Drosophila melanogaster: one gene and its partners. The protein of the gene in region 1 interacts with the protein of each later gene in a pairwise test. Each region holds a gene or a part of one and is shown on either strand. Other genes may lie near its edges.

Evidence for each region.
Region 2: the proteins of CG11350 (region 1) and gce interact in a two-hybrid assay, tested with the Drosophila melanogaster proteins (one large-scale study listed by BioGRID).
Region 3: the proteins of CG11350 (region 1) and CG11382 interact in a two-hybrid assay, tested with the Drosophila melanogaster proteins (one large-scale study listed by BioGRID).

Annotation. Positions count from the first base shown.
Region 1 is NT_037436.4:4,479,235-4,486,274, forward strand, and holds CG11350 (uncharacterized protein), read left to right. Parts: upstream 1-3,574; 5' UTR 3,575-3,609; coding exon 3,610-3,612; intron 3,613-3,677; coding exon 3,678-5,045; 3' UTR 5,046-5,136; downstream 5,137-7,040. Other genes in the region: CG7465 (uncharacterized protein), read left to right, coding at 1,097-1,099, 1,179-2,141; CG13722 (uncharacterized protein), read right to left, coding at 6,175-7,040.
Region 2 is NC_004354.4:15,294,222-15,301,963, forward strand, and holds the start of gce (germ cell-expressed bHLH-PAS), read left to right. Parts: upstream 1-3,544; 5' UTR 3,545-3,715; intron 3,716-3,815; exon of another isoform or gene 3,816-3,996; intron 3,997-4,787; exon of another isoform or gene 4,788-5,362; intron 5,363-6,287; exon of another isoform or gene 6,288-6,401; intron 6,402-7,742. Other genes in the region: CG5877 (uncharacterized protein), read left to right, coding at 116-2,332.
Region 3 is NC_004354.4:1,206,406-1,213,551, forward strand, and holds CG11382 (uncharacterized protein), read left to right. Parts: upstream 1-3,564; 5' UTR 3,565-3,691; coding exon 3,692-5,209; 3' UTR 5,210-5,448; downstream 5,449-7,146. Other genes in the region: CG14624 (uncharacterized protein), read left to right, coding at 364-1,056.

The DNA.
Region 1 (7,040 bases):
GCTGGGATTAAGTGTGCTGTGTCAACCAAATTGGTCGATTAATAATTATAAGAAAACATGTTTTTAAAAGTAAGCTGTACCTATTACGATTTCAAATCAATGTTTTATTAAAACTTAAATTTTATTTTTAAATAACAATTATATATTTTAGACATATCCATACTGTTGTCTTTTTTAATGTCAATAAATATTATTAGCCATTTCAAACTTAGTAATTGATAAGCGCGCATCCGCACAAAGCGGATTGTTCTTAGAATTCACAATGGGATCTTCTGAAGATCTCGTCATCCTATATCCGGCATTCGGTTTACAAACTTATACAATTCGTACGCATCAGGCATAATTATATCATATTTCCAAAAATTGAATGGCTCGCTTGGTCAGTTCCTATTTGTTGATTAATGAACGGCGAACGACATCGCCACAATGGGAAGAGGCTGCGATCGAAATAATCGACTTTTTGAGTGGCGATTCGGAAAGCTATTGAAGTGAGCGAATTTGATTGAAACATATAACTCATCATTTGAATTTATATCGAGCGCAATTCCAATAGCGGCTTGAATGAAACCAGGCAGGTGGAGCGAACACAAAGAGGTGTAAACAAGACGAGAGCCAAGTTAATACGGATATATGTATATGTTTATATATATTTGTATGTGAGTATCTTTGCGCGCTCGACTTGTCCAAAACGTTGATGTCCATCAAATCTTTTGCATATGATTAAATAAAACAATTAAGAGAATCCGTGCGAACGATTTTGGCCATTAAACATTTTTTTTTTAGCCATCAACTGCTCCGAAGCTATAGCTTGTGCGAATGTAAGCGTCGCAGTCGCCGTCTATCGTGTTGGCCAAGCTGCGTTTGAGCCGCAAAAGAGCGGCTTAGAACCCGTAGCTTAGCCAAACCAAAGCCGAAGTCGTGCGAATTTACAGACGCTTGCGCCGGCAGCGACGTCTTTTTGGGCAGAGGCGCAAAAAACGCCAGCTCTGTAATAGCCAGCGAAGAGCGGAGAATCTGTATAAATACCAAAAGGTTCTGCGTATTCCTCATTAGAGTTTCGGTTTTACTGCTGTGAACAAGCAACTCATCGGACAATATGGTACGATTCGACAATTTAGGAGCCATCGAATCGCCACTGAAGGACTAAACTAAACAAATTTCCCAACTGTCTCTTGCAGAAACTCTTCCTGGTCGCTTTTGCCGTGATCGCAGCCGTGGCTGCCGATGTCAGCCACCTGCCCTCCAACGAGTACCTGCCTCCCGTCCAGGAGCAGCAGATCATCGCCGGACCCAGCAACGAGTACCTGCCTCCCGTGCAGGCCGAGTCTGCCCCCGCCCATGAGCTGGCCGATGATGGCTACCGGTACAAGACCCACAAGCGCGTGGTGGTCCGCCGCCACCGCCGTGACGTCAACGAGCTCTTCAACGAGTACCTGCCCCCCTTCGCAGCTCCTTCCAACGAGTACCTGGCTCCTGCTGAGGGTGCTCCTGAGACCATCTTGGCCGATGATGGATACCGTTACAAGACCCACAAGCGCGTGGTAACCCGCCGTCACCGTCGTGATGTGAGCCACTTGCCCTCCAACGAGTACCTGCCCCCAGTCCAGGCTGCTGCTCCTTCCAACGAGTATCTGCCCCCAGTGTCCGCCCCCGTCCAGGTTGCTGCCCCAGCTCCCGCTCCAGTTCAGATCGCCGCCCCTGTCCAGCTGGCCGCCCCCGCTCCTGTCGTGGTTGAGGCTGAGCCCGCCCATGAGCTGGCCGATGACGGTTACCGTTACAAGACCCATCGTCGCGTTGTTTACCGCCGCCACCGCCGTGACGTCAACGAGCTCTCCAACGAGTACCTGCCCCCCTTCGCAGCTCCTTCCAACGAGTACCTGGCTCCCGCTGAGACTGCTCCTGAGACCGACTTGGCCGTTGATGGATACCGCTACAAGACCCACAAGCGCGTGGTAACCCGCCGTCACCGTCGTGATGTGAACGAGCTCTCCAACGAGTACTTGCCTCCCGTGCAGTCTGCTCCCTCTGCCGAGTACCTTGCCCCCCAGGAAAACACCGTCGAGGCGGCTCCCGCCCATGTCCTGGCTGATGATGGATACGTCTACAAGACCCACAAGCGCGTTGTGTTGCGCCGCCACTAAATCATCCGATAAAGGCTTCACTAGGTGATCGAATTGTGCTCATTTTTGAGTGCAGACCCTACTATTAGAATACCTCTTTTTCATTCAAATACAATAATACGATAACGAATCCATACATTCAGCTCTTTTTAATTTTATTATGTTGGGTGTACGAGCTGGGTGATAAAAGGTTATATGTATAGAATTGACTGAAGGAGGAATATATTCGGATAAAACATAAATCTTTGCGGATAATATATAAACCAGAGAATAATAAAAAACGACAAAGTTTTTAAACATGTATTAACCTATTTAAAAATAATAATTTAATGTAATAATATAAAAAGGTTTTAGGGCTAGAATATATTCATTATTTCACGATCTAATTATACACATAAGAACGTGGGATTAGAGAAGCAATATACACTTGACACATAATCGAAATTGAAATCTATTTATGCCGAAGCTTCCGCAATCTCATCTTCAAAAAGTTCAAGCCTGCTTAACGCTTTTAGACCATTTACCTACAAAAGTAAGGGTATGTTAACTTTCTTGGATGGTGTGTCTTTTTAATATGCCGTTATTAATTTAATAGGTTTTTATGACCTAAACGCTTATGTAATTTATTAAAATGTTATTTTATAGTGGATATATTATTTATATACGATTTGCAATTAAATATAGAAACGTTTTGTTAGCAGAATCTAGTTCGAGGAATAGAATTAATTACCCCGTTTTATTAATGTTTTCCTTCGACTCTTCATAAAAGGTAATTTTTCCAAAAGTGTATTCAGTTCATTTTGTTCAGGTTTTCTTTCAGCCGGTGATATACAATCGCTTTCGACAGTCACATCTATGTATTGTTTCGGCATTGAGGTCGTGATTTATTTCCGCAATTTGATTGCTTTTTCGGCAGTCATTTCGCTTCTTACCAACTGTTTTTAGCCTTTTCTCCGCTCCGCTATCGAACATCTGCTTTTATTACCCGAAGTCATAGAACCCGATTAGTACCAGTTGATTAAGCCACAATATAATTATCGACAATTAAGCAAATTGAGCTGGGGTGGGTCGGAATTGGGAATCGAAATTGGCACGCGTTTGGTCTGGGAGAAATTGGCAAGTGCGGATAGGGGAACAATGGAACCTGATCTTGGCCACTAAGTATTAACGAAATATACTTAAAATATTAAGTGGCCGTTTGGATGATTTGGCGGTTAGGCCGGGGGTGAAAGGGGGACTCCCAAATCGTGGCTCATGATCTCGCTGGAGTTGAGCAGAGCGCAAAACCCGTTGCAAACCTGCTTGCAAAACTATAATGGATATGTTTTGGCGGTGTCACTAAATACAAATTCATAAATTAAATAGTCAAATGCAAATTTCTCGCCGCAGGCCGGTGATTAGAATCATATAAATAAGCCGCAGAACATTGTCTAAGGCATCACTTCCACTTGCACTCTCCGTTCAACTGGACAGCCGAGCACCCAGCAAAATGGTATTAACCAGGAACGGTGCGCCATTAGGATAATCAGCTAATATGTGCCATTTTCTCCATTGCAGAAATTCTTCTTGTTCTGCGCCTTCATCGCCGCCGTGGCCGCTGATGTCAGCCACCTGCCATCTAGCCAGTACCTGCCCCCCGGCCGTGGAGCAGCATCGGCTCCCGTGGCTTCCTACTCTGCTCCTTCCCAGAGCTACAGCGTAGAGGCCTCGGCCCCAGTTGCCTCCTACTCTGCTCCCGTTGAGTCCAGCTACTCCGTTGCTGCTTCTGCTCCAGCGGTGTCTTATGCTGCTCCAGCTGTGTCCTACGCCGCTCCCGCCCAGAGCTACTCTGCTCCTGCTGCCACCTACACTGCTGCTGCTTCTGCCCCAGCTGTGTCCTACGCCGCTCCTGCCCAAAGCTACTCTGCTCCTGCTGCCACCTACACTGCTGCTGCTTCTGCCCCAGCTGTGTCCTACGCCGCTCCTGCCCAGAGCTACTCTGCTCCTGCTGCCACCTACACTGCTGCTGCTTCTGCCCCAGCTGTGACCTACGCTGCTCCTGCTCAGACCTACACCGCTGCCGCTTCCGCCCCAGCTGTGTCCTACTCCGCTCCCGCTGAGTCTTACGAGACCGCTGCCTCTGAGCCCGCCCACACCTTCTCGGCCAACGATGGATACCGCTACAAGACCCACAAGCGCGTGGTCCTTCGCCGTCATCGTCGTGGCGTGCCCTCCAACGACTACCTGCCCCCCTTCCAGGGAGCCGCTTCTGCCCCAACCAGTGAGTACCTGCCCCCAGCAGCTTCCGCCCCCGCTCCAGTCTACCAGAGCGCTGCCTCTGCCCCAGCTGTGTCCTACGCCGCTCCCGCCCAGACCTATTCCGCACCTGCTGTCTCCTACGCCGAGCCCGCCGAGAGCTACGAAACCGCTGCTTCTGCTCCTGCCCACTCCTTCTCCTCCAACGATGGATACCGCTACAAGACCCACAAGCGTGTGGTGCTCCGCCGTCACCGTCGTGATGTGAGCCACCTGCCTTCCAACGATTACCTGCCTCCAGCAGCCTCTGCCCCAGCTCCAGTGTACTCCGCCCCCGCTCAGAGCTACTCTGCTCCCGCTGCCACCTACACCGCTGCTGCCTCCGCCCCAGCTGTGTCCTACGCCGCACCTGCCCAGAGCTACTCTGCTCCTGCTGCCACCTACACCGCTGCTGCTTCCGCTCCAGCTGTCTCCTACTCTGCTCCCTCTCAGAGCTACTCTGCTCCCGAGTACTACAGCGGTGCCGCTTCCGCCCCAGCTGTCTCCTACTCCGCCCCAGCTGCTTCCTACTCTGCCCCAGCTGAGAGCTACGAGACCGCCGCCTCTGAGCCCGCCCACTCCTTCTCCTCCAACGATGGATACCGCTACAAGACCCAGCGTCGCGTGGTCCTCCGCCGTCACCGTTACTAGAGGCTCCAACGAACCCCCAGCGAACCGAGCCAAATCCTGTTATTTGACTCACGGGTTTCATCTGGGAAACGAAATTAATAAATTCATAAATAAAAAAAATATTGAAAAATACTTCCACTGCCTGATTAATTAATCGACTAACAGGAAACCCCATTGACGGGAGCCCCCTTATTTGCCTAACAATAATATTGCATAATAGAATAAGAAGTTTTGGCCACTAAAGCCAATGATTATCAGGCATTAATACCGAGCTGTCGTCAAGCGGAGACGATACAGCAACTGAAAAAACTAGTTCAAATCGAGATGCGGAAACTCGTTTAATGCTTCGAAATTAATTTTTTGTTCAGCAAGTGCATTGTCATCTGAAGCTTCAAGTTCAAAGTCAACCATAAGAAAATTCGAGGCATACTTTTTGGCCTTTGTAAGATTTATATGGATGTAGTAAGCATATAGTAAGTGTATATTTATGTAGTAAGTCCCTCGCGGCAGACTACAGAGTTAAAAAAAACCCAGTGAATTATGGATCTATTTTGTAAGGCAGACTTATTAAAAAATTTATCTTAGTAATATAAAAAGCCTCAATGTATAGCATTATATCCGTATCACAGAAAGACTTTTGTTATTCCGGCTAAAAAATAGCAGGTTGAATGATTCCAATGCTATCGCGTTACCGAAGTTTGAGCAGAATTATTAATTTCTTGTTGCCCAAATGTACTCTACTTTTCGGCAAGCCAGCACTATAAACTGCGATGTCTAAAAGTATGTGATTCGACCGAATTTTTAGTTTATTCTAGATGGGATCTGCTGTTTCACTCTAAGACTAGACGTCTTACCCTTCGACACACTGAAAGAAAACAGTAAGAACATAACATTCACATTGTCATTTTTAATTCGGCAGCATTGCGTAATCGTTAAAACATAAGTTTTAAAAACATATTTTAATGACTAAGTTCGATTGGAGATTCCGCAGGCAAGATCCCCGGTAAATCATTAATAATAGTTATTAAATAAAATATTACAGTAGACTACAATTATTCAATTTCGTACGTTCCTAAGGATCACTATGCGCACACAGAGGCAATTGTGTCATTTAATCAGTGATGAGAGGGCCAATCGACGGATGAGTTATTCAAAAGTCGAATGCGATGGCCGGCTTCGGGTAGGAATAGCCCGCCGACTTGGGAGCGGGTGGGGGAAATGGAATGACTGGCTTAGGGTAGTCGTAACCCTGCTTCACCTGAGGGGGTGGAAGGTACTTGGGAGTGGGCGGGCTGGTTGGCACAACGGGTGGAATGTACTTCTGGGGGGGATTCGTGGGTGGGGGGAATGGAATGGCGGGCTTGGGATAGTCATAGCCCTGCTTAACTTGAGGTGGAGGAAGGTACTTGGATGTGGGAGGAGGTGGAGGTGGTGCTTGTGTTGTGGTCACTGGTGGCAAGTACTTCTGCGGTGGGGCAGTGGGTGGCGGGAATGGAATGGCGGGCTTGGGATAGTCATAGCCCTGCTTAACTTGAGGTGGAGGAAGGTACTTGGATGTGGGAGGAGGTGGAGGTGGTGCTTGTGTTGTGGTCACTGGTGGCAAGTACTTCTGCGGTGGGGCAGTGGGTGGCGGGAATGGAATGGCGGGCTTGGGATAGTCGTAACCCTGCTTCACCTGCACCGGAGGCAAGTACTGGGGCGTTGGTGGGTTTGTAGGTGGCAGATATTTTGGTACTGGTGGTGAAGTGGGAATTACCGGTGGTGGCAGGTACTTTTGAGGTGGGTTAGTAGGTGCTGGGAATGGAATGGCGGGCTTCGGGTAATCATAGCCTGACTTAGGCTGTGGGGGTGGCAGATACTTCGGCTGCGGTGGGTTTGTTGGCTTAGGAGGTGGCAAGTACTTGGGCTGTGGTGGAGACGTGGGCACAACAGGTGGCAAGTATTTCTGTGGTGGGTTTGTTGGTGGTGGGAATGGAATGGCGGGTTTTGGGTAATCATAGCCGGACTTAGGCTGTG
Region 2 (7,742 bases), on another chromosome or scaffold:
TGCTTATCGCGTGAAATTTTTTCAAGTACTTTTATAAAACGAATTGTATGTAGAAAAGAACATTTAACATTTAATCGACATATTTTATCAATATACACGATATTCTTTTATTCAGGTTGCTAGGCGATTCGAGAAAATGCTGAAGAGAAACCCATTCCAGTACACACTGTGGAGCAACCTAATAATGATCACCCAAGGCGACATGGCTTGTTGCAACGTGTCCGCTGTGCTCCGGATTTACGAGTACAGCATGCGCCGCATGCATGTGGGACACAACGATGAAATAACCCGAAGATTCATCATTAAGGAGACTGATGTGATAATGCTAAAACTTTTTCACAATTGCTTACTATTCCTACGCCAATCGGGCCATACTAACTGGATGTTTGCTCTGATTCGTTTGTCTATGGAGTTGAATTTCCCCTACCTGACGTTCGAATGCCTACAAGCACATGCAGGAAGAGAAAAAGCATTGATTGGATTCGAGGAAGTGGTGCTGCGTTCGGGAATGCCGATGCCCGAGATCTGGACGCGTGTGGAGCAGCTCAGACAGGCATACTGCTTCCTGCCGTTGAAAGACAAGCTGGCTTCGTCGACTAATGTCTTCAAAAACAAGATGAACGCCGAACGATACTTTTGCAGCGACAAACTTGTCCCATATGTACACGCACTCAAGTCGCAGAATAATCGTCTGCACCTGGTGCTCGTGGTTGTTCAACTAATGAAATTGCCCCTGATTCGCAGCGCTAGTTTGGCGGACAAATTGAATCCTTGCATCGAGGACTTCGGCGAGTCTGAGGCCATTGAAATGCTTTTCGCTGCCATAGTAGATAGGCACTCCTATGCAGTGGCTTCGTTGCAATATCAATTTGATGCAGCCATGATCGACTTAGCCAGAGAGATGTCCGTGACGCCCAGCTACATGCCGCATCTTGTTGGCCATAAACTGTATGCGGATACCGTGAGTAATATGCTACTCAAATGCGTCGAAGTCTTTATCGGCGAGGAGTCCAAGCGACGATTGTTGCTTATTCTGTATTTGCGATTCCAAAAACTATTAATAGTGCTGCACAAGTCCATGGGCAAGCTAACGAAAAAATTCTTTAAGGATAAACGAACACGGATGCGCAAACTGATCAATTTGACGGAGAACCGAAATGTTATTAGTTTCTACACGGAACAGGCCTTGTGCGAAATTGAGGCTAAGCATTACCGACTGGGCTTTTCCATAATTTCGAGGATCATCACAAAAAAATCGGAAGAATCCAGCTGCATTAGTTGCGTGGACACAATGCATCTCTATTTAGTTTGTGCAGAATTGCATATACATAGGGGCCGCATATCTAAGGCCATCGGCATACTCGTTTCACTGTGTTTGGAAAAACATGCCGGAGTAAAGCAGACAACTGTCTACTCCAAGGAACAGGTTTTGAAAGGCCTGAGAAATGCAGAGAAAATGGTGCGAGCGGAACTGAAATCCCTCGATACCCAGCCAGCTGAGATGTCTTTGGAGGAGTACTTCCAGCCCAACAAATTGCTCATCCTCTTGCGCGCTATCTGTTTGATCGAAGTGCTGAATAATCGTCGTCATAAGGAGGCTAGAATGTGGCTCAATGACCTGCAGAATAACGAATTTGGTCCCGAGGCCGTCAAGGACAGCGAAAGAAAGCGTTTCCTTAGGGAGCAGATCATGGAAATACAGATGCTACATCTGCGTTTGTCCTTTTTAGTATTTGGCGAAGTTGAATTCTATACTGGATTCAAAAAGATCAAGCTACATGAACTGCTCGAGAATGGACTCGAAGAGTTTCCACGAAATATGGTGTTTCTACAGCTGTGGGCCAGCTTAAAATCGATTATGTGGCACAAGCAGCGTAGCCGGCTCATACGCACCAAAGCCGGCATCGCTTCACTGGCGCACTTGGTCGTTGCGATTCACAATCGCTTTGGAATCGTAGATACCAACGATAAGTTTTCAAAGGAAGCCACAAGGAAGATGGTGTGCAATCGTTTGGTCAGCATTGTCGAGACTTTTCTCCCGACCAATTTAGATCGTTTGGATGTGGAGGAAGAGCATTATCGCATACTGCGCAGGAACTCCATCTATTGGCGCTTGTACATGATTGCCCTATCCAAAACGAATGCCTCGTTTAGGCGCAGCAAAGAAGTCCTTATAATGGCCATGGACGAGTGTCCCTGGGACAAGTCACTACTGATGGAAGGCGCCAAGGTTTTGCCAGTGAAACTAGCATCGCTACAGGACCTGATGACCGAAAAAGAGATTCGCATTTTCGCTATGCCCGAGGAAGTGGACGTCTTGAGGGGCTTTTAAGTCGCTTTGGTTTTATTCGTTTGTTTTGAGGTTATTTGCCATTCGGGCGACTCGATAAGTTCGCATCATAAATATATTTATTTCTTCAAACAATCTAGTTCTGAAGTTTGCTTCAACTTTAAGTTAACTGGCGAAATTGCGATAAGCTGTTTGCAGTTATATGCGTACATGCATATTTTACTACATATATCCTAAATCGCTTATCAGAATTGGCTCACTAACAAATTCAGAATTAGCGATTTTGCTACTCAAAAATACTCGCCGTTCGATTATGTTAAAAAAAAATTCCAACACTTTATCGCTCGTTGCTGTGCAAGGAAACCAGAGTCGCATATCGAATGTCGGAGATTAGTCCAACTTCATCTTCTGGCCAATCCGCTCCCCCCGAATCCAGCATTTTCTTGTGTTTATTATTTTGATTGTGTTTATCGCAAGATAACCGAACAAAACTCATAAGCCAAAACAGCGCCGAAAGAATCACTGCGCACCTGAGGTCGCAATTGTAGCACCTGGAAGCTGTGAGACGAACTAAATACAACATATTTGTTATGTCATTTTCATATCGCTGAAATGAAACATATATTGCAAATAGCTTATTTTTATATTACTGAAATTTAAAATATATTGCAAATAGTTTATGGTTCTGTTTATTTAAATTTATTAAATCATTTAAATATGCAAAAGAAATTAAGAAGTTTTCTACATTTGTAAATTACAAATAAAAATATTTATATTCCTATTTAGCTATGAGTAGTTTTAACAGCTAACTTGTTAAATATTGATAAATTTAGATTTAATATGTACACATTAAAGGATTTGTATTAAATGACATGAATGATATTGACGATAAAATGATTGATATTTTGTATGCGATCTGTTTGTGTGACCGCAAGTGTGGTGGCCAAGTTGCGTGAGCGCGAGCGAGACGGCTGTGGCTGAGTGTTGACTCGTCTCGAATGTTGCGTATGCGCCCTGTCTGCCCAGCCACTTAAGACTCCTGTGCGTTACTGTTGCTCTTTGGAAAAGCGTGGAAATCGGGAGAGGAAACGCTGTGATTGGGCAGAGGGGTAGTGGGGATGAAAAGCTCCGCTCGCCGAAACGCATCGAAAGCTGTCTGAGCGCGAGAGTCCTGGCTGCTGTCCATTCGCACGTCCGTCTGTTCGCCTGCTCGTCCACCCATCCGACATCTTTGGACCGGGCTTCATCGATGGCAGTCGGTCGGCATCTGTCCAAGTCCCACGACGCGTTGTCGCTCCGCATCGGCCGTTGCTGCAGTGGAAGCGGCCCGTTTGGCCAAGTGGCGTCTCCGTAGTCCCTAGTCTCATGGCGGCGGAGTCTCCTCTCAAGGTTTCCCAGGCACTCCAGACCGTTTCCAGTTCCTAGGTTAGTGCTAGAGCTCGGAATATCTGGCCAGTATCAGGCCAATCCATATATAATAATATATACATACATATATATATATATATGTATATATCGCTATAACGGCCGAGTGTTTTTTGTTCCATTTCGTTTCGATAGCGAGTGTAATTTTTTTGAGAGTGCTCCCCCGTTCTAAGTCGTGTGTGTGTGTGTGTTTCTCTTCCTGTTTGGGTGTGTGTGCTGCGATGTCTCTGTGTTGGTGTAGAGCAGAAGCAAGAAGAAGCAGCATTGTGTAAGACGCCAGCGTCAAGTTCGTAGACTAAACACCAACCTTCTTTTGCGGCTCTACTCTAGCAAAGGGGAAAAGCTTTTCAGAGAGGAAACTCAGAAAATGAGAAAACGATAGAGACAGAGAGCGCAGAGAGTCAATGTGCACTGCTAGAAAATGTGGGGAAAACCAGTTTGCGAGCATGCGATTCGTGACAGTTTGCATATTTTTTAAGCATCTTTATCTCAGATTTCCAAATCTATAACTCAAATATTACTAAATTTATTACAGATAAGTGTAATCAAAATAATTGATAGCTTATTATTATTATTATATAATGCTTCCTTGGAGATTGTTATAAACAGAGGAGATTCAAGTGATTTTTTGTGCAAAACTCTAGTTTTAGCAACGTTTTCTTTTTTCCCGGTGTACTGGGTGAGCATGAACTCGCCGAGGGTTTCCCGGCCGGAAACCTTAGTCAAGGTCTCGCCAGCTTTCCAACGCAGGTTGTTGCTGCGCTCTCGCTCACACTCGCTGCTGGTGGGCGTTTGGCCAATCGCCATCTCTGTCGCACCGCTGTCGGTGACGAGCGAAGCTTTTATTGTATATTTCATCTTTCACGCTCTTTTCCCTGCCATTTCTGCTTCTTTGGGGCAGCGGCACCTAGAGCGGGAGCGGGAGCGGAGTGGAGCGTGAGTGGAGCGTTAGCTTTCCGGGCAGCTGATTCGCGCTCGGCTCGGCTCTCCGCTGCCGTTGCCGCTGCCGCCGTCGCTGCTCCGCTCGTCGTCTGGCTGATTAGTTTAGTTTGTGATTTCAATATATGTAATTAATTTTTGTTTCTGTAGCGGTACGGACGGACGCGTCGCGACGTTCGCTTGGTCCGCTTGGTGTTCGTTCGGTTCGCTTGGAGCTTGGAGTTCGAATTCGGTTCGCCAGCCGTCGCTGTTTCGTATTTATTATTATTTTTTATTTTTTTTTTATGAGTATATTCGTATTTCGCATTTGTATCTGAATGTTTCTTTGGCTCTGCGTACGTGTGTGAGCGATTGTGCGAGTTTCCTTCTCTTTCAACTTGCCTTTTTCGTGGTCGCCGCCGCTGCTAAAATGCAAAGAACACGCTCGAGCAACGTAAATGGCGCCGCGTTAACGAATGGAATTGGATTATCAAACAGTGCCCCCCAGAGCCCCATATAAAAGTTGAAAAAAAAAATAAAATAAAAAACAAAACGAGGAATTAAAACCGAAATAAAACAGGCAACAAACAAACTTCGTTTTGACAACCCCCCCGCCTTTTTTTTTGTTTGCGTGTGTGTGTTTTGTGCCAGTGCTTGTGCTATAGTGTAAAAAAAAAAGTTTGAAACAACAAACCAAAAACGCGCTCGAGGGGAAATATTATCAAAAAGGTAGATGGCGGTGACCTTAAATCATATAGTAATTATAGGGCTATCTTCCAGTTGGACAGTTTCAACAACCAAACGTTGGTGTATGAAAAACTCCAATTATCCTATTATACGACTAGTATGTATATTCATAAGCCCAATGGGGCTTAAATACCGCTGTTGGTGTGTTGTTGAACAAGCTTGAACAAGTATTTTTTTGTGCTCTACGTTGGTGCATTGGAGTGTAGATATAGTTTCAACAACCGACCAACCACCAAGCGCAAAATTAATATTGTTGAAACGTTCGAGCTTAGCAGCTGTTGGTGAACCGTTGTTGGTGTATTGTTGAGTGCGCGGCATTAGATGCTGTTGATCAGAGTACTTTTGGTACTCTTGTGATCCTGTTTCATTTCCGTTTTTGTTCACTGATTTCGATGTTTTCTTGTGCAGAGAATTGGTTTTATATGGTGTAGCCTACGAGTACGAGCATATGTGCTGAAATCAGCGGCGCGTGCGCGCATTTTTGCGCGATCGAAACCCGAGAACGATTCAGTTTTTTGTTGAGTTGGGAAAAGTTTCGATTTACGAAAAACATTCCCACTGTCTGTGTTTGTCATCCTTCGAAAATCTGCTTAGCCAACATTAACGTGTTTGCCCATCCACAAACACATACAAATGCATACAAAAAAAAAACTATCACATTCGCATCGACACAATCAATGAGGCAAGACAAATAAAATTAACATATTAATGAATTTCCAGTTTCTTTTTTCGACTTATTTAATTTTTTAATAAGAAAAGAAAAAACAGAAAAACAAAACAAGCGTGAAGAACTCGAGTCTCTCGACTTCGGCATACCCAAAAAGCACGAAAGCGGGAAGTGTGATTATGGCCAAAATTCCAGATCTGCGCTTTAATGGGTGTGCGAAGATCAACGGATTCCAATGAATATAGATGTTATATGGCGGAGCACTTTATGATGGGTTCTTAGCCTCCCTTGAACTTGTGGGCAGCATGGAAAGAGTGCGATGGAACTGAGCTTTGGATGATAATAGCAATAAAAGTAAATATAAATAGCCCAGCATCAGGTATTTGTTGGCAACAATTTTTCAATGATTTACCAGTTCCGAGTTCCGATCAATAAAAGTGTTTTTTTTCTGTTTTTTTTTTTTTTGCTATTCGGTTTGGTTTTTTCTTTCCAATTTTTGTTTTTTGTTCGGCTGCTTTGCTGCTGCTCTCAAGGTTTTCTGTGTGCTGTTGCCGATGGTGATGATGGTTATGATGATGATGATGATGATGTTGATGATTTTTGTGTGGATGTTTTTCATTTTTATTATTTTCTCTGTTACTTTTTGGCTTTTGTTTTGTTTTATGTTTGATAATTAATTTCTACGTCGCATGCTGATGTTGGCAATTCAAGTGAATTGAAAGAGGGGGGAAACTGTTAAAAATATATAAGTGTACAAATCTCAAGGCAGTTTATAAATATTTTAAAAAATCCATAGGTACATTGGGTAGCTTTTAAATTATAGCCAAAGCATAAGTTCTCTAAAAAAAAAACCATATAATTTGGATGTCTGTTTCATTTTTAAGGACAATAAAATATGCAGTCAATTTCCCTAGCATTTTTCTTTCTTTTATATTTTTTTACGAGTTCGTATATGTAAACATATTTATTTATTTTTTTTCTAACTTGTTGTTCTTGTCGCCCTCATCAAATTTTTTGCTGACGTCGCGTCTAAGAGCGATCGCTTTGGCTGAGCGGCGAGCGTTCAGCGTTCAGCGTTGAGCGGGCCAAGCGGTATAGAGAGTCAAAAGCTCGTCGCTTAAATGTGAGCAGGGGGGCCTGGTGGGGAGAGGGGCCAGGCGGTATTTTTTGTGGAGGGGCCAAGACGCTCTAAAGCTGCGGGAAAAGGAAAGCCGAACCTGTACTGAAAGCGGACCTAAGCAGCGGCAATTGATAACCTAACCTAGACAATAAAAACGACCGCCAACCGATGGCGACCCCAAGAAATGACGTCCACTACTTGAATAACTTGGCATTTTAAGTTAAATATTTAATTTTCAATTAAATGTGTCAGATTCTCTGGGCAGTCAAGCATAATTTAAGACAGGGAAAGTTAGCCGAGAGAAATGGAATGCCAAAATGAGCGAGCTAATGGTACTACTTTTTTTTCGCCACAATTTGTATTCTAAAGTACAATCGGAAAAACTACATAGAATGGGAAAATATTTCAAAAATGCTCGCGTATATTTCGAATTTCTTTTGAATAAAACACAATGTAAGCTATCATAAATTAAGGGCAATCAAATCGAGCCGCAAAGAATGTGGACTGCCAAAACACAAGTTTATCGATAAATCGAATCTTAATTGGAGGCGAATTTAGCATGCCTGATTGGATCG
Region 3 (7,146 bases), on another chromosome or scaffold:
CCAAAAGTCCCCGGCTCAGTTACACGGGTTGTTGATCCCACAAAAGACGGCGAAAGCAATTTTCGAACTTGCAACATTGCAAAATGGTTTCGTAAGCGCCAAAAGCCAAAAAGTTCATTTAATCAGAATTAGGTTTAATAACAACAAGAGTTTTAATCAATTTGGGCGTTTCGATATCGGACAATTGGATAATTGCTTCGGCAGCAGATACCAGGTTACGCAACTAGGAGGAAGAGTTGCAAGTGGAAGGTATCGCTTTCAGCGGAACCACAGGTATCGAATGACATCGGGGTGGCTTCTTATATATGCCCAAAGCGTCAGGGCCACTGCAAGCATTTGCAACAGACAACCATATTGAGCAGCATGTTCAGGTTTTTTCACCTCGACATCCTGGTCAGCCTGATCAGCCTAATCAGCTGTTTTGCATTGATGAACGCCCAGCAGCAGCAGCAATTCCACCAGCAGGAGGTATCGGGGATACAACTCCACCCACCATGGCTGTACTCGATGCCCTGGCGTCCTTTGATCCTGCCAACAGCCAGTCCTTCACTACCTTCTCTGACGGCGCTGGCTCAACTGAGTCCTGGCTACACGGGCCCGCAGACCTTTCCTCCAGTTCCACAGGATCAACGCCAGCAGACGCAGCAATATCAGCAACATCAGCAACAGCAATTCCAGCAGGCATATCCGCAGCAATACCAGCAACAGCGATACCAGCAGGAATATCCGCAGCAATACCAGCAACCCTCCGTCCTGGTGGGCTTATTTACTCCTCAACTGCAGGCCCAGCCACTGTCAGCTCCTCCTCCGCAGGCTGGACATTTTAGCCTGCCCTTCAGGCCCTCGCCCTTCGCCGGATACACGGATGACGGAGATGAACATATAGCCCAAGGGCAGGGCAACGGCATGCCAGAGCAAACGTCGCAGCGGACACTGGAGGAGCCGACCTTCCATGAGCATGTCTATAATAATAAGCCAGTGGCGGAGGGATCGCAGCACCCAAGGGGCTACGTCTATCTATCGCCTAGTAATGCCTATAATCTAGTAAGAACTTAGGTTACAGAGTGAACATAAATGTCTCGTTCTTTGTGTTAGTTCCTAAGCTATTGAATACCAAATATCAATCAGTACAATCAGAAACTATAACGTGAAGAAAAGTCAGGCTCTTCATATGTGAGTTTGTGGAGTTGTATGTGGATACCCAGCCCAAGTCAAAATCCGAGTCAAACCCACAGGTTCATTTCCCATGGCAAATTTAAGCGCAGCTTTGTCTCTGGGTAATGAAATGCTGGGGATGACTCCCCCACTCCGGGAGACCGCTGTCTTTGAAGGCGGCCGACTTTTGCCATGGGCGGGCTGTGCTGTTGTATGTCTGGCAATTTGTTGCCACTTTCAAATGCCTCAATTACAATCGTCTCGCACAAGTCGCAAATCGGTGAAATTATAACTCGATCGACGTGGCAGGTGTGACCTTGGCAAGCGGATTGCGCAACTGTCTGAAGGGCGGAGTCTTAGCGGCTGGCGGGCAATTACATCAACTAAAATCTCAGCCGTGGCACACGACTGTTGACCAAAGAAGCGGGCCTAGAGGAGTACCGGCAGCAACTAACCACGCCTACCAGACCAGTCGAAAGCCCGGAAGGATACCTTGTATACAATGTGTTCACTACCATTACCATTACATTCAAATGAGTCCTCTAATAGGAGGATTCTCTCAATTTTTTCATGGTAATATTTGTATGTACACCAATTCCGAAATTGGAATCAGCTTGTTCTGTCATAGATTTGCATGTCCAAATGCCAAGTTCTTAGTTACTAATCTCGACATGTATGGGCTTAAATTCCACTGTGATGAAGAACTGCCCTTGAAGGCCGTCTGACGACAACACAAGCAAGACCGGCAAGGTGCACATCATTTATCTTCCATGGTCGTGGGCTGCATGCAGATATATCGCAAAGGTTTCGGGCCAAGTCCATTAGTAGCCATGGGTTACCGGTGCCGTAGAGAGGGGTCGGGGTCAAAGGGGCACTAACATACCTCAAACTATTGCCAAATCATCATCATCTGCGGCAGAGACCCAAATTAAGATCCCGAACGGTAGCAAAACAAATCGCTTTTCGAATTTCGAAAAAAAAATCGCGCACCTGGGAAAACAGCAACAATTACGAGGCGAAGTAGGGTGCACAAGAGAGACCCAAGAAGAGGAAGAAGGGATACCAGAGGAGAAAGATACGGGTTGTTGTAAATTAAATGCAATTTACGCACAAACTAAGCTGTTTTTGGGGAAATGTAAGTGAGCCAGCTGAGGAGGAGGAAGTGAGAAGAAACATGAACACAACAGGGCCAAAATGGCAAGATGGCAAGGGGCGTGGTAAGCAGACATGTGATTTTTAAAAGTGTCACTTGAACTTGAGTGGTAACACTCGCACAGTGGGTAAAAATGCTATTGAAAATTGAAGTCCAAACAGGCTTATAATATAAGGATATATAATATTATAATATAATACTGATCTTTATATCGAATATATTGTACATACGTATGTACAAAAACTGTAAGTATCAATCAAAAACTCACTCACTTTGTTTTGCCCAGGATCCACAGACGATGCCCACTTCTTTCCACAAACCGTGGACCCTTTTCCATCACTAGGTGGTAACTTGCACTCTCCTTTTACGCCTTTCGTTTCATCTGCCTGCTTCATGAAACGCGGGGCGCGGGGGAAACCGAAGCCGACGCGAGAACCGTTATAATCCACAAGCCTTGAGCAAGTTGCAAATGCGTAGTTATCTATATTTCAGATGAACCAAAGCGATCGCTAGAGAGCCGTTATATTCCGCAAGTCGCAACAAAATTATGAATTCGTAAATATCACTATTTCAGCCACAACTTGTACAAACGTGTTCCTTGTTTAGTTTAAGTAAATGCTTTTATCCCTGGCACACATTTCCCGGAGCCCATACAATATATGTAAGTTGCACACGCTGATCGCAAATCAAACTAACCAAAGCGACAGCTTCGCGCGAGAGAGAGAGCAAGGATGTCGTTACAGTTTGAGAACATTGAGAACAGTGAATGTGCAACCGTAACAGTTTTATGACTTGGAAATCTAAATCGTTTTTTAATTCGAATAATGCTGTAATATAGTTTTAAATATTAATGTTTTAAATTCTTTATTTTTCGAATCTAAAAGACAATTAAATGTATAGCGTTATCAAGAAAATCTATTTTGTATACATTTGTTCAAGTCGTATGTATTTTTAAGGAGCTAGGTCACACCATTGAATATTTATGCACACGTGAATTTAACCCACTGTGCGCAAACGAAACTAAGAGTGAGGGAATGAAGAAAGGCTGCAGCGCAGTCGGAGTCGGCGTCACACACGAAATACCGTTGTTTTTCGCGTGCGTGAGCGTGAGAGCGACAAAAAGAGAATGCCAAGAGAGCAGCATGGCAAGAGGCAAAGGCAAAAACCGAGTTTCTTGCAGTTTGAAGTGGCTTCTTTAAAATGTATAAAAGGGTCGGCACTCACAGAGTTCGTCAACATAACGCCAACGGCAGCGATTAGAGTCGCGTCTCGTCTCGTTCTATACTCCGGATCCAACGTGAGGAACAAGGATAACCGATAACACGATCGAAGGATAACCGTTAAATTCACTTTTTTTTCCGTGATTTTTGCTGTGACTTGAGCATGAAACTACCGTTAGCTTGCGCTGTGCTAAGCTGCTGCTTCTTTTTGTTGGCAGCCGCCTCATCTTCTCCAGCTGCCGATGCTTCTTCTTCAAAGCCCGCTTCATCTTCGGCTGAGACCTCATCCTCCGCTAAGCCAAAAAGAGATGCTGGCCTAAGTTTCGGAGGAATATCCAGCTATCACGGCCCTTCTCACAAATATCTGCCGCCCGCCTATGAGAGTCACCTTAACCTCGGCAGTTTCCATGGAAGCTCGGCTGGTTATTCCGATTACCCCAGTCACTTCAAGGGCGAGAGCAGTTACGGACACCACTTCGCACACGGACACTCCGGAAGCCACGGCTACGCCAGTTCCAGTGGCCATGGAAGGCCCCATCATTACAGCGGTAGTGGAGTTCCTAAAATCGAAACCTACATCGTTCAAACAAGTGGCGGCTCGAGTTCCGGTCACAACTACCATGGTCAGGGACATGGACATGGAATCGGTCACGGGATCAGTCATGGAATCAGTCACGGCCTGAGTCACGGGCATGGATCTGGATTGGCCTTTAAGTACGCACCATCTACCAGTGGAGCCTATCTGAATCTCGTTGGGAATGAACACAAGACCAGCACATATGTGGTGGCCACTCCCGAGTACTCCGGACACAGCCACGGAGCGAGGGGCAGCACCCACGGAATTGGCTACGGATCGGCACCAGCCCACAGACCCAGCTACGGTGGCCACCTGCAAAGTCACGGCTATGGCAACAACTTTGGCCATGGCCCCAGCCATCACATCGCCCATGAACCAGTCAGTCACGGACCTATCCAAAGTTTGGATCACGGTCTGGAGCATGCCTTGGAGCACGGTCTGAGCCACGCCCTGGGATTGGGTCACTCTTCGGGAGGACAGTTCCCACAGCACGCGCTGCCCCAGCCGGCGGAGGAGCATTCTGGGTACTCCTACGATGCTCCCGCCACGCCTTTTGGAAAGGGAGTGCCGTTGAGCAGTTACGGCGTACCACTCATACCCGGCTACGATCACCAGGAGTCACTGCCGGAGCCAGTGCAAGTGCAGGTGCTGGAGCAGGAGCACAAGGGCGATCGGGAGCAGGAGAGGGAAACACCGGTTTATGCTCTGGGCCACAAGGGCCTGGGTCACTTCAGCTACACGGCCAGCAAGCCACAGGCTCTCCACACCGACGTTCTCAGCTCTGCCCACCACTCCGTCCAGTCCGGAGCACCCAGCCACGACCTAGACGTCTCCAAGGCGCCTTTTAGGCCCAGTGCCTTTCTAGGGGCCAAGCACGAGTCCGGATCGAATTCCATTTCCGGCTACGACTACGCCACGCCCAGCTCCACATTCCTGCAGGCTCCTTCTTCGCCAGGCTATGACTACCAGGCTCCGGCGCAACTATACGGACCACCCGGCCACTCCGGGGACTCGGCCACGCCTATTTTCGAACCGGAGGCGACCTACCTGCCTCCTGCCAGCAGCTACGGCCCAACGGCCGCGTCCTCCCATGGTTACCACTAAATTATTAAACTAGTTTTAAGCTCTAGCGTCCAATGTATTTTTTTATCCCTATCTATTTGGTACTGCAAGCCAAGATGGAACAATAAAAATCAAGAAATCAAGAGTCACAGTGTTGAAACAATTTGAAAAGGAAGGAAGAAAGAGTATTTGCAAGTGAGATAGTTATGTGGAAAGAAAGTTCTAAGCAGTACAAACTGATGGGTTTTACAATAAAATGAAGCCACTTAATAGGCCAAATGAAAATGATTTCTTTTTAAAAGCGAAATGGAACTTTCTCAACTTCTCTTCGTGTGCGGAGGCTCCTCCCTACCAACTGGATAGATTCCAGGCTATTGGAATGCCGCACACGTCGCAGATTTTGGCAGTTTCTCTCCGATTTGTGGTTACAAATTGGTTCGATTTCGGATTTCGCTTAAAAATTGTGATTCGCATTTGATGCGTGAAACTATATCAAACTAAAGAGTGGACGGCTGTCGTGGGAGGCGTGGAGCAGCGTAGGGAGTGGAGCTTCCAAAACGACGCTGGCATGGCAATGAGTCGAATGGGCTTGGGCTGCCCAGGCTAACTGAATTAGACCTGCTGAATTAGAATACAAGTTAAAAGGAGGCGTCTTGAGTTCACAACGTGTTCACAACGTGTTCACAAATGCGATCAAGTGGATGCCATCCGCTGGTTCCGCTTGCCTATCCCCCAGTTGCACCATTCACCGCCGCGTGATGGATGGTCAACGCACTGGCCGCCGCCTCTCACTCTGCTTCCATGTTAATCATAACTTCAACTTCATCCCATTTTCCATTCCAATCTCTGTTGCGCAATCTTTGCGGTTCGACCAGTTCGGGCATTTGATCCTTAAGTCGCTGACCTACATCAAAGTACACAAGACACAGCGAAAGTGAAAGGATGACAGCTTGATGGGCTCTGATCGCCTCGTCTCAAATCGGATCGGATTAGTGATCATGATCATGATCATAATCTCCTCATCTGGAAGGCTCTTGGATAACTTGACCCACGCTGAGAAGTGAACTTGAGCGCCTGATTGAGAATCACATTCGCTGCGGAAGTGGTCAGAGTTCGCCCAGCGAGACGTGGCTTAGGAAGAAAAGGAAACAGATCTGCATAGTTTTCCATGGTTTTCCAACCTGACTCGAACTCATTGTACTGAGCCATTCAGACCCCCTGGGGTGGGAAATAGTTATTTCTGTGAATGGGAGCGGCCAAGCTAATCAGACATTAGAGATCAGAGACGATATAGTTCGAGATATAGAACATATTCCACAGGCGGCTGTATATGGAAGGCCTTTGTGGAGGGTTCCGGTTCCCTGCTGGGGTCACACCACTAAAGTCAGAGAGTCACTCGGACTGGGGCTGAGGTAATCCCCCAAAAATATATTTTCGGGCAGGGTCAGGTGTTATGTAAGCCCCCGCGGGCAATCTTCTTTCTTTCTTTCTTGGAAGCCTAACTGTGTCGACAAGTTCAGTCAGCCACAACAATTGAAAGGCCGGCCGCAGCAATAAATTAGATAGTTTCGTATGACAGTTAACAAAGGGCTGCAAATGTGACAGATGTGAACAATGCAGAGGGGGGGGGGGGGGGTTGAGTTGATAAGCTGCATTGGACAGCAATCGGTGGGCTGATGATAGATCTATTAACTGGGGAATCGAGAGCAGTCAAAGGCGTGGGTCAAATTTGCTCGCACATTAGCAGCGAAATGAGCCGTGAAAAAGGTGTTAAATAATTTCATTTCATCGTTATGGCTGTAACCAGTTGTTAATCCCCTACACTTTTATGTTTTCCCCGTCGCGATTCGGTTATTTATGGGCTTAACGCCTGATTTTTGTTAATTCCCAACCCACTCCGTGCGCTTTCTGGGCAGTGGTGGCAGGAGGGGCGACCGGCGATACCAACATTTCATTTCACATTTTTTATTAAAGTGCAA